3 linked regions of the Saccharomyces cerevisiae S288C genome follow. The protein of the gene in region 2 interacts with the protein of the main gene of each other region in a biochemical or structural test. Each region holds a gene or a part of one and is shown on either strand. Other genes may lie near its edges. The genes, in order: FOB1, NSI1 and NET1.

Region 1 (3,757 bases), 180 kb from region 2:
CGAACAACGTTTTTGGCTCCAGGGACTAAATGGATTCAAGACTGGAAAGAATTTCATCAAGATTTCTTCAGCAAGTATCGTAATTGAATGAAAAAAAAAAACTAATGATAATGGCTTTCTATTTGTTTTGCATCCATGGTGGGGGTGAAGTTTAAATTTGTAATAGTATACATGCATCATTCTTTACTAAGGGAAATAAGGAAAAGTATATATCTGCCTCTTGTAATATTGTTCAAGGAAATAAATTTTGGAGCATTCCTCTGCATCTATTGTTCAATTAAAAAAAAAAAAAAAAAAAAAAAAAAAAAAAAAAAGTAATTATTCATATAAAACCACCTTGCGGGCAAGATCATATTATCCAAGTTGATACTTATTTAAAAATATAAAAATTTTTTAACCGCGTACATTAAATACAGGGTCATATACAGGAAGAGCTTTCAACACCTTTTTGAATACTTTATATGCAATAGGTGCTTTTTTTTTTCACCTATGGTGACTCCTCCTTTCATTCTATCCTACATATTATTACAATTCCATTGATGTGCCAAAGTCTCTTGTTTGATCTCCATTACCCTGTTGGTCTAATTTCTGTCGTTTTGTTGACGGCGATTCCAGAGTTTGATAGTAGGAAGTTTCTGGTCTAGTTATTTCGACACTTTGATCTACTTGTGATGCACCGTCACTTTCTTTTTGATCCCCTTTTTCAGGCTCTTCTGTTCCCTGCATTGGGGCTGCCACGCCGGTGGACTCTATTCGGTCCTCATCGACATTATGAGGAGGCTTTTCTTCGGGAGTTAAGGTATTAGGTTCAAATTCGCCCTCTGAAGAATCATGTGCCAAATCATCATACTCATCGATATAGTTTTTTTCAGTTAGATCAAATTGTTTTTGCACTTCTTCTTCAAAGTTATCATTTCCTATATTGTTATTATGAAGAATTCCATTATTGTTACAGCTATTATCCGCTTCATTAGCAAGGGCAAAAGTATTGACATCTTCCAAATATATAAGACCTTTTCCACCTGCCATCTTGAACATATTACGGGAATATGTGTTTTCTATAACCCTTTCTCTCTTAGTCTCAAACTTGGCATTGTGACCTGGAACTTCACTAAGTAGTACTTGCACAGGTTTACGTTTCGTTCTCTTATTTCTCCTTCGGTTGAATCTGTAAGGGCCATATCTTAGGCACTTACCCCAATCGGCTAGACATTCCTTCTTATAACTATTTAGAGCATACTGAATGCACAGTATACCCCCAGTATGAAATCTCGCAGAACTCTTCAAACCCAAGCCAATACGGAGACCGTATTTTGATGCAATTTCTTCACAAATATCATAAAGATCATCTTTATCTAAAGTGCTTGATGTTACGAAAATTGGAACCCTAGCAAATGTTAAAAAAAGTGAGGAAACAACTGGGATAAGATGTTTGAATTTGGTACTCTTAAGTGGTAATAACCACATAAAACTAGAGCGATAGTCTCGGCATAAAAGGACATAAGAATATTTTCCCTCAATAGCTTCTCCATTGAAGGGTTCGAATACCTCAATATGTATCCTTTCCATTGGTAGTAGTTTATCGTACATGTCAGGACGTTTATATTCCTTCAATGGTTTAATTTTGCCCTTTTTATTACATTTTGAACAAAATTGCTGGACCCAATCGATGATGGCATGACTAATATTGGCAAAATGAGAAAATAAAAAGGAATGTAATGTTTTACCCCTAAGATGCTTATTCATCAAGTGTGTTGCCATCACCATGTCGTATACATGCTTTGGCTCACAGTATATTTTATCATTATTTCGGCCATCTCTAACATTTCCTTCATCATCAACATAATACTGTCTTTGCAAAAATAACAGCTTGTTTTCTGCCACTACACCATCGTATTTATCACTTATTTGTTGCAAGGTATCTGCAGTTAAAGATTTTGTTTTTATTAGTTCATATATTTTCTGCGTTAGTTGTCTTGTCAGAGATTCAAGAAAGATTGGTGTTTCTCTTTCTCCCCTTTCCAATAATTCTAAGTTCAAATAAGAGTCTACGTACTCAGTATATGATTCCCCCATAGAGGGAAGTATCAGTAGACGATCTTTTGAGGACTCTCTTGATTCCCCAGGTGACGTTGCCTTTCTTCTCTGCGATTTCCTCGTAACTGATTCTGATGGTACCGAGTCATCATCATCAAACAACACGTCATTGTAACGCGGTTTCGTCATTGTTATCCTCAGCACAAATTCACACTCACACAATCGTTAAATTGTTCTCCCCCCTGAAGGCTTAATTCAATGTCGTTAAAATGAATACATGCGATGAGGAATCACCTCGCAATTTTTTTTTCTTTTCAATATATCGCGAAAAAGAAAAAATATCAGTATTATCATGTAAATAATTATGGCTGACACCTCATATTGAATGTGGGGGTAAAGATACTCTGGGTTTCTTGTTTTGATATATATAAGCTCTTCCTGGAAACCTCGATCACAATGTTAGGTATGATGAAGAAATTGAACCTTTATAACACCCGTTTGACTAAATGCTACAGACCAGTATTAGTAAATGTGGAAAGCTGCACACCCAGACCGCTGAGTACAATGAAAAGATGTAAAGAGACGAAGGAACAAACATCTGCAAAGTACATTATTAAGGCTATATGAAAAGCAGGAAACGCCAAAACAATATGCAAAATGAAACACGGGAGCCAGCGGTATTGTCGTCACAGGAAACCTCGATTTCTCGCATTTCTCCACAAGATCCAGAAGCAAAATTCTACGTTGGTGTAGATGTCGGAACAGGCTCTGCAAGGGCATGTGTTATCGATCAATCTGGTAACATGTTGTCGCTAGCAGAAAAACCCATAAAAAGGGAACAATTGATATCCAATTTTATTACTCAGTCTTCAAGAGAAATCTGGAATGCAGTTTGCTATTGTGTTAGAACTGTTGTTGAAGAATCAGGAGTTGACCCTGAAAGAGTTCGTGGAATTGGTTTTGATGCGACTTGTTCCTTAGTAGTCGTATCCGCTACCAATTTTGAAGAAATTGCAGTTGGACCGGATTTTACCAATAATGACCAGAATATCATATTATGGATGGACCATAGGGCGATGAAGGAGACTGAAGAAATCAACTCATCTGGTGATAAATGTTTAAAATATGTGGGAGGGCAAATGTCTGTTGAAATGGAAATTCCGAAGATTAAGTGGTTGAAGAACAACTTAGAAGCTGGAATTTTTCAGGATTGTAAGTTTTTTGACCTTCCGGATTACTTGACTTTCAAAGCCACGGGAAAAGAGAATAGGTCATTTTGTTCTGCTGTTTGTAAGCAGGGATTTCTACCAGTGGGTGTCGAAGGTTCCGATATAGGCTGGTCCAAAGAATTCTTAAATTCAATTGGGCTTTCAGAGCTTACGAAGAATGATTTTGAAAGACTGGGTGGATCGTTAAGGGAAAAAAAAAACTTTCTGACCGCAGGTGAATGTATCAGCCCGTTAGATAAAAAGGCTGCCTGTCAATTAGGCTTGACAGAGCATTGTGTAGTAAGTTCAGGAATTATTGATGCATATGCAGGCTGGGTAGGGACGGTAGCCGCCAAGCCGGAATCAGCAGTAAAAGGTCTTGCCGAGACCGAAAATTATAAAAAGGATTTCAATGGTGCAATTGGCAGATTGGCAGCTGTTGCCGGTACGTCTACGTGTCATATTTTGTTATCAAAAAACCCTATATTTGTCCATGGCGTTTGGGGGCCTTA
Region 2 (3,757 bases):
TCACATTTAGAAATGATTTTTAAGAGGAAGAATGTAGAGAAACTAGAACAGGGATTATTACAGGCGAAGTTAGTGCTGAACAAAACAGATGAGTGTAAGTCAATGTATGAGGAGAACAAGTTGGATAACTGCTTAGAGCTGATAAAATCCATCGATTATCTGATTAAGGGGGATGATTCAATAAACGAAGATGTTCAGAGTTGGACTAGGTGTTGGCCCTATAAATTAAGCAATTTGAGGACGATACCTGCTTTGTCAGCAACGAGAGAGTTTTTAACCAATATGAAGATTGAAATAGGAGGAAAGTTCAGCCTACAATTATCGATTTTACTAATAGATGATTTAAGATCCTTTTGCAAATCAATCAAACCAAAGGAAACACTACATAGGATACAAACGGGATCTAATGATAAAAAGCAAACTATATTTACTGATAATTTTTCTTCAAAGATAACCGAATTAATAGTCAGATTGAATAGATGCGAAGAATTAACGAGTGCCTTTGACCTATACAGGGAAAAATCTATCACTGAGCTTAAATCTATCATAAAAATTTATTTGCCAACAGAGAATGCACACGCTGACAATAACCACGATGAAAAACATCTTAACAATGGCTCTACTAGTGGGTCTAAACTTTCAAGATTAATAAAGGAGCAAACTCCTGCAGAATTTCAGTCCATGCTAGTAAACATATTCACGCACGCGCTCGAAGCTCTTCGAAGACTTTATGGGCATCAAAAGTTGCTTCTAGATATCTCTCTTAACGAGCTAGCATCTGTTAAAAGTCCAAACGAAAACCAGCACAACATGATTACGCAATTGGATATACGTACTGGCATCAACGAAATAATCAGAATTATTCAGTTACGTACAGGCAAGATCATTGCCGTAAGAAGAGAATTGAACTTATCTCTACGGTATGATTATTTCTTGAAATTTTATGCTATATGCGTTATTTTTATTCAAGAATGTGAAGTATTAAGTGGTGAATTTTTAACGAAATATTTAAGTAATGTTTTAGCATCTCAGATCAAGCATTATGCAAACGCACAAAGTTCAAAAAATTACCGCAACATAAAGAAAAAGATTGATGCTGAAGAATGGATTCCATATATTGTGGACTCCTCTATTCAGAGCGATGTTAACGACATTGTGTCAAGTATAGACATAGACCCATTGAGTTGGACAACTATTTTAGACATGGTAGGGGGTTCTCATGATTGCGAAAATGGCAGAAGCGAGGACAAGGAAAAAGATGAAGGAAATGAAACATATCAAGGTCATAGGAAATCGGTTGTTGTTGGCGATAAAACTTTTGTGGCCAGTAGTTCTCTGCTCGCTACCATTGAGGTTATTAAGGAGCTAATGGTTCTTTCCATAAACCTTCCCTCGATATACTTATCAAATTTCGAGAAGTTGTGCTATGACGCACTACAATACTACAACAGTAGCGCCATGGCATCTGTCACACAACCTGGAAACTCACTTTTAAAAACGGGTAGAAACTTATCTATCATGGGAGAGTCATTGGACTGTCTCGCAGAATTTGTGATTATTGTTCAGAGATTTTATCAAAGGCTTTCCAACTCTAACAGGGATTTTGAGCCATTCGATGCGAGTCATTATACAACCCTGTTGGGGCAATTCCAGGCCTCATCGAATAAAATATACATGGCCAATGCCCCACCTCCGCCTGTATAAACATGATAAAGAAAAATTAGATTTCAAGCTATGTACCATTATTTACTTTTTAAACTAATGAATCATCGATGTTATATTCTCTAAGAAATTCCGCTTTTTTTTTAGAACATTATCTACGTATTATTTTTCCAAACATGAGCGGTGAAGAAATGATCAAACAATGAAGATCGAGCGAGGTCAGAGCTTTCCAAATGCGATAGGAAAGGACTTTTTCCAGCAGCTATGAAAATGTACTTCAAGTATCTCGTCAGTTGCTTTACAACTCATCTCCTGTAATTTCCAACATAGCATCGTTCACGACACAGTTGGCGCTGAACAAATTTTGTGCATAGAGCAAGCAGCCGTTTCTTGTCTGCGTCAAGAAGAAAGATAAAGGTAGAATGGACAGCGTGTCAAACCTTAAGAGCACAAATTTTCAGAACAATAATGACCCAAAAGAATCTGTAGAAGAAGCAGTGCTAAGGTATGTGGGAGTCGACTTGAAGAATCATATTAAAAAGACAAAGAAGAAATTGAAGAAACAGAAGAAGAGAAAGCATGGTTCAAAAATGTCTCATGAAGATGAAGACACTGATATGGATTGGTATTTGAAAACATCGGGTTCAAAAGATTTACGTAAAGTGGATGATATCGAACCAAATTCTGTTGCTGTAGCAGCTGTTGCTGCCGCATACAACAGCTCAATGAGAGAAAAAGATAAGAGGAGCTGTCATAAAAAATCTTCTAATAGTAGATCAGAGAGGAAGAAGCACCGTAAAAGAAAAAGCTCTAAAGAAAGAAAAGCCAAAATAAAAATGGTCCTAGATCCGCAGCTGACTACACTGGACGATGGCATAACGACAACAGCATTTTTACCTGATGATCTCATTGCTGAAACAGCTTTTGATAAGTATGTTGATACTGAAAAGGCATACCTAGCTAAACATCCAAGTAAATCGTTAGAAGTTAATGAGGATGATAAAGAAAACAACTTTAATAACAATAGCAGCACGCTGGTTAGAATTTATACCGATTTAGAGGGGATACCAAATGACGGCAGCTACATAAAGCGCACTCCAAAGATACCAGAAAAGGATGTGAAATCAGACGACTTGATATTGGCACCAGAAGAAAACAATGGAGATACCGCATTACTGCGATCCGATATTGTGAAAGCGTCAGTAATTGACGGTGCTATCACAAAATCCATCGGTAAGAAGTTCACTCCCAGCGAGGAAAATGCTTTGGACCAATTCATCGAAGAATACATGAAAATAAGAGGCTTGGATAGACGCCAAATGTGCGAGAGAATTTGGTCTACAGACGGAGTCATTAGAGATGGGTTTTGGGCAAATATCAGCAAAGTTTTACCTTATAGAACAAGGTCCTCAATATATAAACATATAAGAAGAAAATATCATATTTTCGAACAGCGTGGGAAGTGGACGCCAGAGGAAGATCAAGAATTGGCAAGATTATGTTTAGAAAAAGAGGGTCATTGGACCGAAGTAGGCAAATTGTTAGGCAGAATGCCTGAAGATTGTAGGGACCGTTGGAGAAACTATATGAAGTGTGGTTCAAAGCGAGGTTCTAAAAGATGGTCGAAAGAAGAAGAAGAATTGTTGACTACTGTAGTAAATGAAATGATTGAAGAGGCACACCAATATCAAAGGATGAAGGCATTGGAGGCTGCCAACAAAAATGATAGATACAATCAAATGTATTCTAGGGGTCCAAAGGGAAAGAGAATTAGCGATAATCCTACCTTCAAAGATATGATCAATTGGACTGTCGTCAGTGAACGCATGAGCGGAACTAGATCCCGTATACAGTGCCGCTATAAGTGGAATAAATTAGTAACAGATGAAGCAGCCAGAAGTATGTTGAGCATTCCTGTTTCTGAAAGGAAGTGGCTGCTAGAACGATTGAAACAGCTACCTAAAACGTCCTATTCAAATATCGACTGGAACAGTATAGCTACCTACAAGCCCGGATATCCTCGAACTGGTCTTGAACTGAGATTATGTTACGAGCAGATGAGAGAAAAGATTCATGACTTTAAAGGAAGGTCAAC
Region 3 (3,757 bases), on a different chromosome or scaffold from region 2:
CAGAAAATCCGGGATTTGAATAATTATACTTGCTTATCTCCCCGTACCAGGCGTCCACCGCTCCCGTGTCTGTGTAACCAAGGGCAAGGTTCTCACCATATGGGCCATCGGAATGCGTTAAGACACCCGAACAATCATATTGGTCGGCGTAGTTCTGCGCATAGGTGGCCAGAGTGTCGGACCAGGTGAGCGGCGCTGTGTCAACATGTAGCGCTCTGAACTTGTTATGCTCGTTCAGCACATCGCTCTCGAAGTTTGGAAACGTGGTTTGTGCCTTGACGGCTACTAGGCATCCTAGCAGAACTGATATTGGAAACTCCAGCATAAGCGTTTTCGTTTTAAGTTGTTTTAAGTTGTTTGGAGTTGCAGGGGTGCAGCAATTATAATTTTATGCCGATATTGGTTTGGCAACTACCGAAAAGCAAGAAGCTAAAAACTTTGAAGTATAGAATATGTTTTAGAGAATTCTTCGACCGAGTTGAAACATGAGAACTGTTTCATCGGCCCTATATAGCAATTACATCCTTCCGTTGCTGGGTCCCTGCCTAGATACCATATTTGTTGTTGAATTAACCGCGGGAACCCGCAATATACGAAAGACGAACACAAGAGAGCAAGCACACACAGCTAGTGCGTAGCGTTGCTAGCTATATTGCCATGGTACCTACCTTTCACCTCCTTGTTAAATCCATAAGTGGACGGTTTTCCTAAACCAGTATTTATCAGTTCTCGAGCACGCAGAGAAAAGTAAACGAAGCGACCTGCATTGCGGTAACTATAAACACCCAGCCGCCTCCAGCAGAACCAGCCATGTGCGAAGAAAAACAATTTTTCGGCCAAACTTACCAACAATAGCGACGCGTTCCTCACATCGTTGGGTTTTTTTCGCCTCTCTTCAAGTTTCCTATACCCGAGCTTAACACAACACAACGGACCCTCTTAATTAGAGGTATCCTCCGTTCTTTTCTTCCGCTTTCCTAATCGAGATACCAGAGCACGGAACAGGACCCTAGTGCATCGGAGAGGAGATCCGTGGCACGCTCACTGCGCCTTTCACTATCACCGATTTCGTAATTCGAACAGGAGTATTTCGCTGCAGGGGAATTACTGTTTGTAGACGAGGGAAAGCAATTATCAGATACATGCCAGGGATAGCGTTCAAGGGGAAAGACATGGTTAAGGCAATACAGTTTTTAGAAATAGTCGTTCCTTGCCACTGTACGACCTGAACTTTACTCAACGAAAAAAAAATTGGAAAAAAAATAGTGCATAACGTTGCTATTAACAGATGTAGTACTGATATGTCCCTGATTGGTGAAGAGTCAGAATGATATAAGCCTATTTGATATGTACGTGTACGTATTCGAAAATAAGATTTGTTTCTCGTAGGGAGCGATATGTGCATTATGTTACCCGTTCCACATGTTTTGAACTTTTTTTCTTTTTCATGGTAAGCGTCAATAATCAATTTGAATAACTAGTGAAGAGTAGCTAGCACGATGAAATAAGTGCCGGAGCTGATCGAATCCCTAGTCTCGGTTCGCCTGAAACAGAGAGAAGTCGATTACTGTACACCGTGCCTCCTTCTATGTACAAGCTACAAGTGGTCTTGGTGCCTCCGAGTCTTCAGGCGACGATGCCAATACAGTTTGGCTACGGACCAACCATCGCCGAATCTTCTCAATTGTTGCCAAACAGAACTAATATGGCGCAAAGCGCCGGAGATGCCTCTTTGCAGTATGCTAATCTGAGATCTGCCAATGTGAGTTTCACGCCAAGCTATTTCAACCAGTCTAGGTTTAGGAAGTTTCTTTTGTTTACCAAGCCGACAAACACGCTGTTGAACTTGAGTGATGAAATCATCGATAAGTGTGAAAAAATGTACCCGAGTTTGCAAGAAGACATTGAAATTTTGAGTTTGCAAGATAACAGCGGTTGTGACCTTGATCCGGATTTTTTGGTAAAGGACGTTTTCAATGTAAATAATATCGTAAGAGTTATATTGAAGAATGAGATAGATCTGGACGATTCCGCACCAGTGTCACTTTATAAGTCGGTAAAACGATCCAAGTTGAACAACGGGTCGCCCCAGTCGGTGCAGCCGCAACAACAAATCCCGTCCTCTTCAGGTGTTCTTCGGATTGCCAAGAAGAGGCCACCTACAGGAACCACGACAACAACAACCATTCGTAGTGCCACTAATGGATCCATGAGGGTTTCTACCCCATTGGCTAGGCAAATTTATCCTCCACCTTCTTCGAAGATCGTCTCCAACAACTCAGATGACGAAGACGAAGACATTGGTGAAAGATCCTTTTTGCCGCCTCCAACGCAGCCTCAGTCACCTCCCATAAGAATTAGTTCGGGCATTGACGCAGGTAAAAAAATAAAATCAAGCATCGTCGAGGAAGATATCGTGTCCAGATCAGCAACCGTGGATCCAGATAAAACAAAGCAGCAACGTCTATTGTCCGGAACTCCTATAATGTCCACCATGACTCCAAACAGAGTTACTCTTACCGGTCAGAGAGTGGTTTCTGAACACGCACATAAAAACGAATTGGTTTTCTCTGCTTCAGCTTCTTCCTCTTCATTTGCTAATGGTGGCACAGCTGCTGTCACTGCTCAGGACATTAATAGGAAACCACCCGTAACCACTCCAAGAATAACATCAGGAATGTTGAAAATCCCCGAGCCAAGAATCTCAGAGATTGAAAAAGAGTTAAAAGAGGGACCTTCCAGTCCGGCCTCCATTTTACCCGCTAAAGCTGCAAAGATTCCAATGAAAAAACCTTACTTGGAAAATGGCGAGAACTACGAATCCGACGATAGCTCAAGTAGCGAAAACCAAGAAACTCCTGAAACAGAACCACATTCAAAGGCTTCCTTGCAACGTAGTCAAAGCTCCATCGCAGATAATAATGGCTCTCCGGTGAAAAATAGTCCTCTCGGTGATGCCATGCCACACAATGTGCATTTAGCAGAACTTCCCAAGGCAAGCAATACCTCGATCACCAAATCTTCAAATGGCGAATCCTGGGGAAAGCAACAAGAACATCAACCACCAAGAAAGAGTTCACTGGAAACTATAGTGGAAAAGAAATCTCAGGCGGAACCTTCCGGTATTGTGGAACCGAAAAGAATGACTAATTTCCTAGATGATAATCAGGTAAGAGAAAAAGAAGATACGAATGATAAACTTTTAGAAAAGGAAATTTTGCCGACAATTCCACATAATGATCAGCCAATACTTGCATCATCTGATAAGTCTAATGGGACGTTGAAATCACTAGCTGGGAAAGTTAGTTCAAACAACAACGCTTCAAAGGAAGATGGCACTATCATTAACGGCACCATTGAGGACGATGGCAATGATAATGATGAAGTTGATACTACGGTTCGTATTGTTCCTCAAGATTCAGATTCCTCTAGTTTCCCAAAGTCAGATCTTTTCAAAATGATCGAAGGTGATGATACAGATCTACCGCAATGGTTTAAGGGCAAAAATTCGAGAACTTCCGGTAATTCCAAAAATTCAAAGCCTTACACAACGGTTTTGAATAAAGACATAGACAATTCTAAGCCAGATCCAAGAAATATTTTGCCCCAGCGAACCCCAAGAAGTGCGGCTAAGAGGGCTGCCCAATTATTGGCAGGTGCCAAGAAAAACGAAGTCCCACAGAAAAGTACTGAAGATTCTAGTTCGGCAGCGTCCACAGACGATGAGTCAGAGAGTGGGATTGAAACAGATTTCTCA

What was found.
Region 1: the proteins of NSI1 (region 2) and FOB1 form a complex in vitro, tested with the Saccharomyces cerevisiae proteins (one study listed by BioGRID).
Region 3: the proteins of NSI1 (region 2) and NET1 form a complex in vitro, tested with the Saccharomyces cerevisiae proteins (one study listed by BioGRID).

The regions. Positions count from the first base shown.
Region 1 is NC_001136.10:674,571-678,327, reverse strand, and holds FOB1 (replication fork barrier binding protein FOB1), read right to left. Parts: upstream 2,227-3,757; coding exon 526-2,226; downstream 1-525. Other genes in the region: alanine transaminase ALT2, read left to right, coding at 1-87; YDR109C (putative phosphotransferase), read left to right, coding at 2,661-3,757.
Region 2 is NC_001136.10:492,596-496,352, reverse strand, and holds the start of NSI1 (Nsi1p), read left to right. Parts: upstream 1-2,084; coding exon 2,085-3,757. Other genes in the region: VPS54 (Vps54p), read left to right, coding at 1-1,704. UniProt on the Saccharomyces cerevisiae protein: DNA-binding protein that recognizes sequence-specific replication termini (Ter sites) within rDNA. Binds to rDNA terminator elements and mediates efficient RNA polymerase I transcription termination.
Region 3 is NC_001142.9:293,657-297,413, forward strand, and holds the start of NET1 (Net1p), read left to right. Parts: upstream 1-1,588; coding exon 1,589-3,757. Other genes in the region: PRY3 (Pry3p), read right to left, coding at 1-325; YJL077W-B (uncharacterized protein), read left to right, coding at 391-489; ICS3 (Ics3p), read right to left, coding at 1,010-1,405; YJL077W-A (uncharacterized protein), read left to right, coding at 1,143-1,229. UniProt on the Saccharomyces cerevisiae protein: Has a role in chromosome maintenance and is involved in mitotic exit. Inhibits the action of CDC14 by sequestering it in the nucleolus. Also binds to RNA polymerase I and stimulates rRNA synthesis.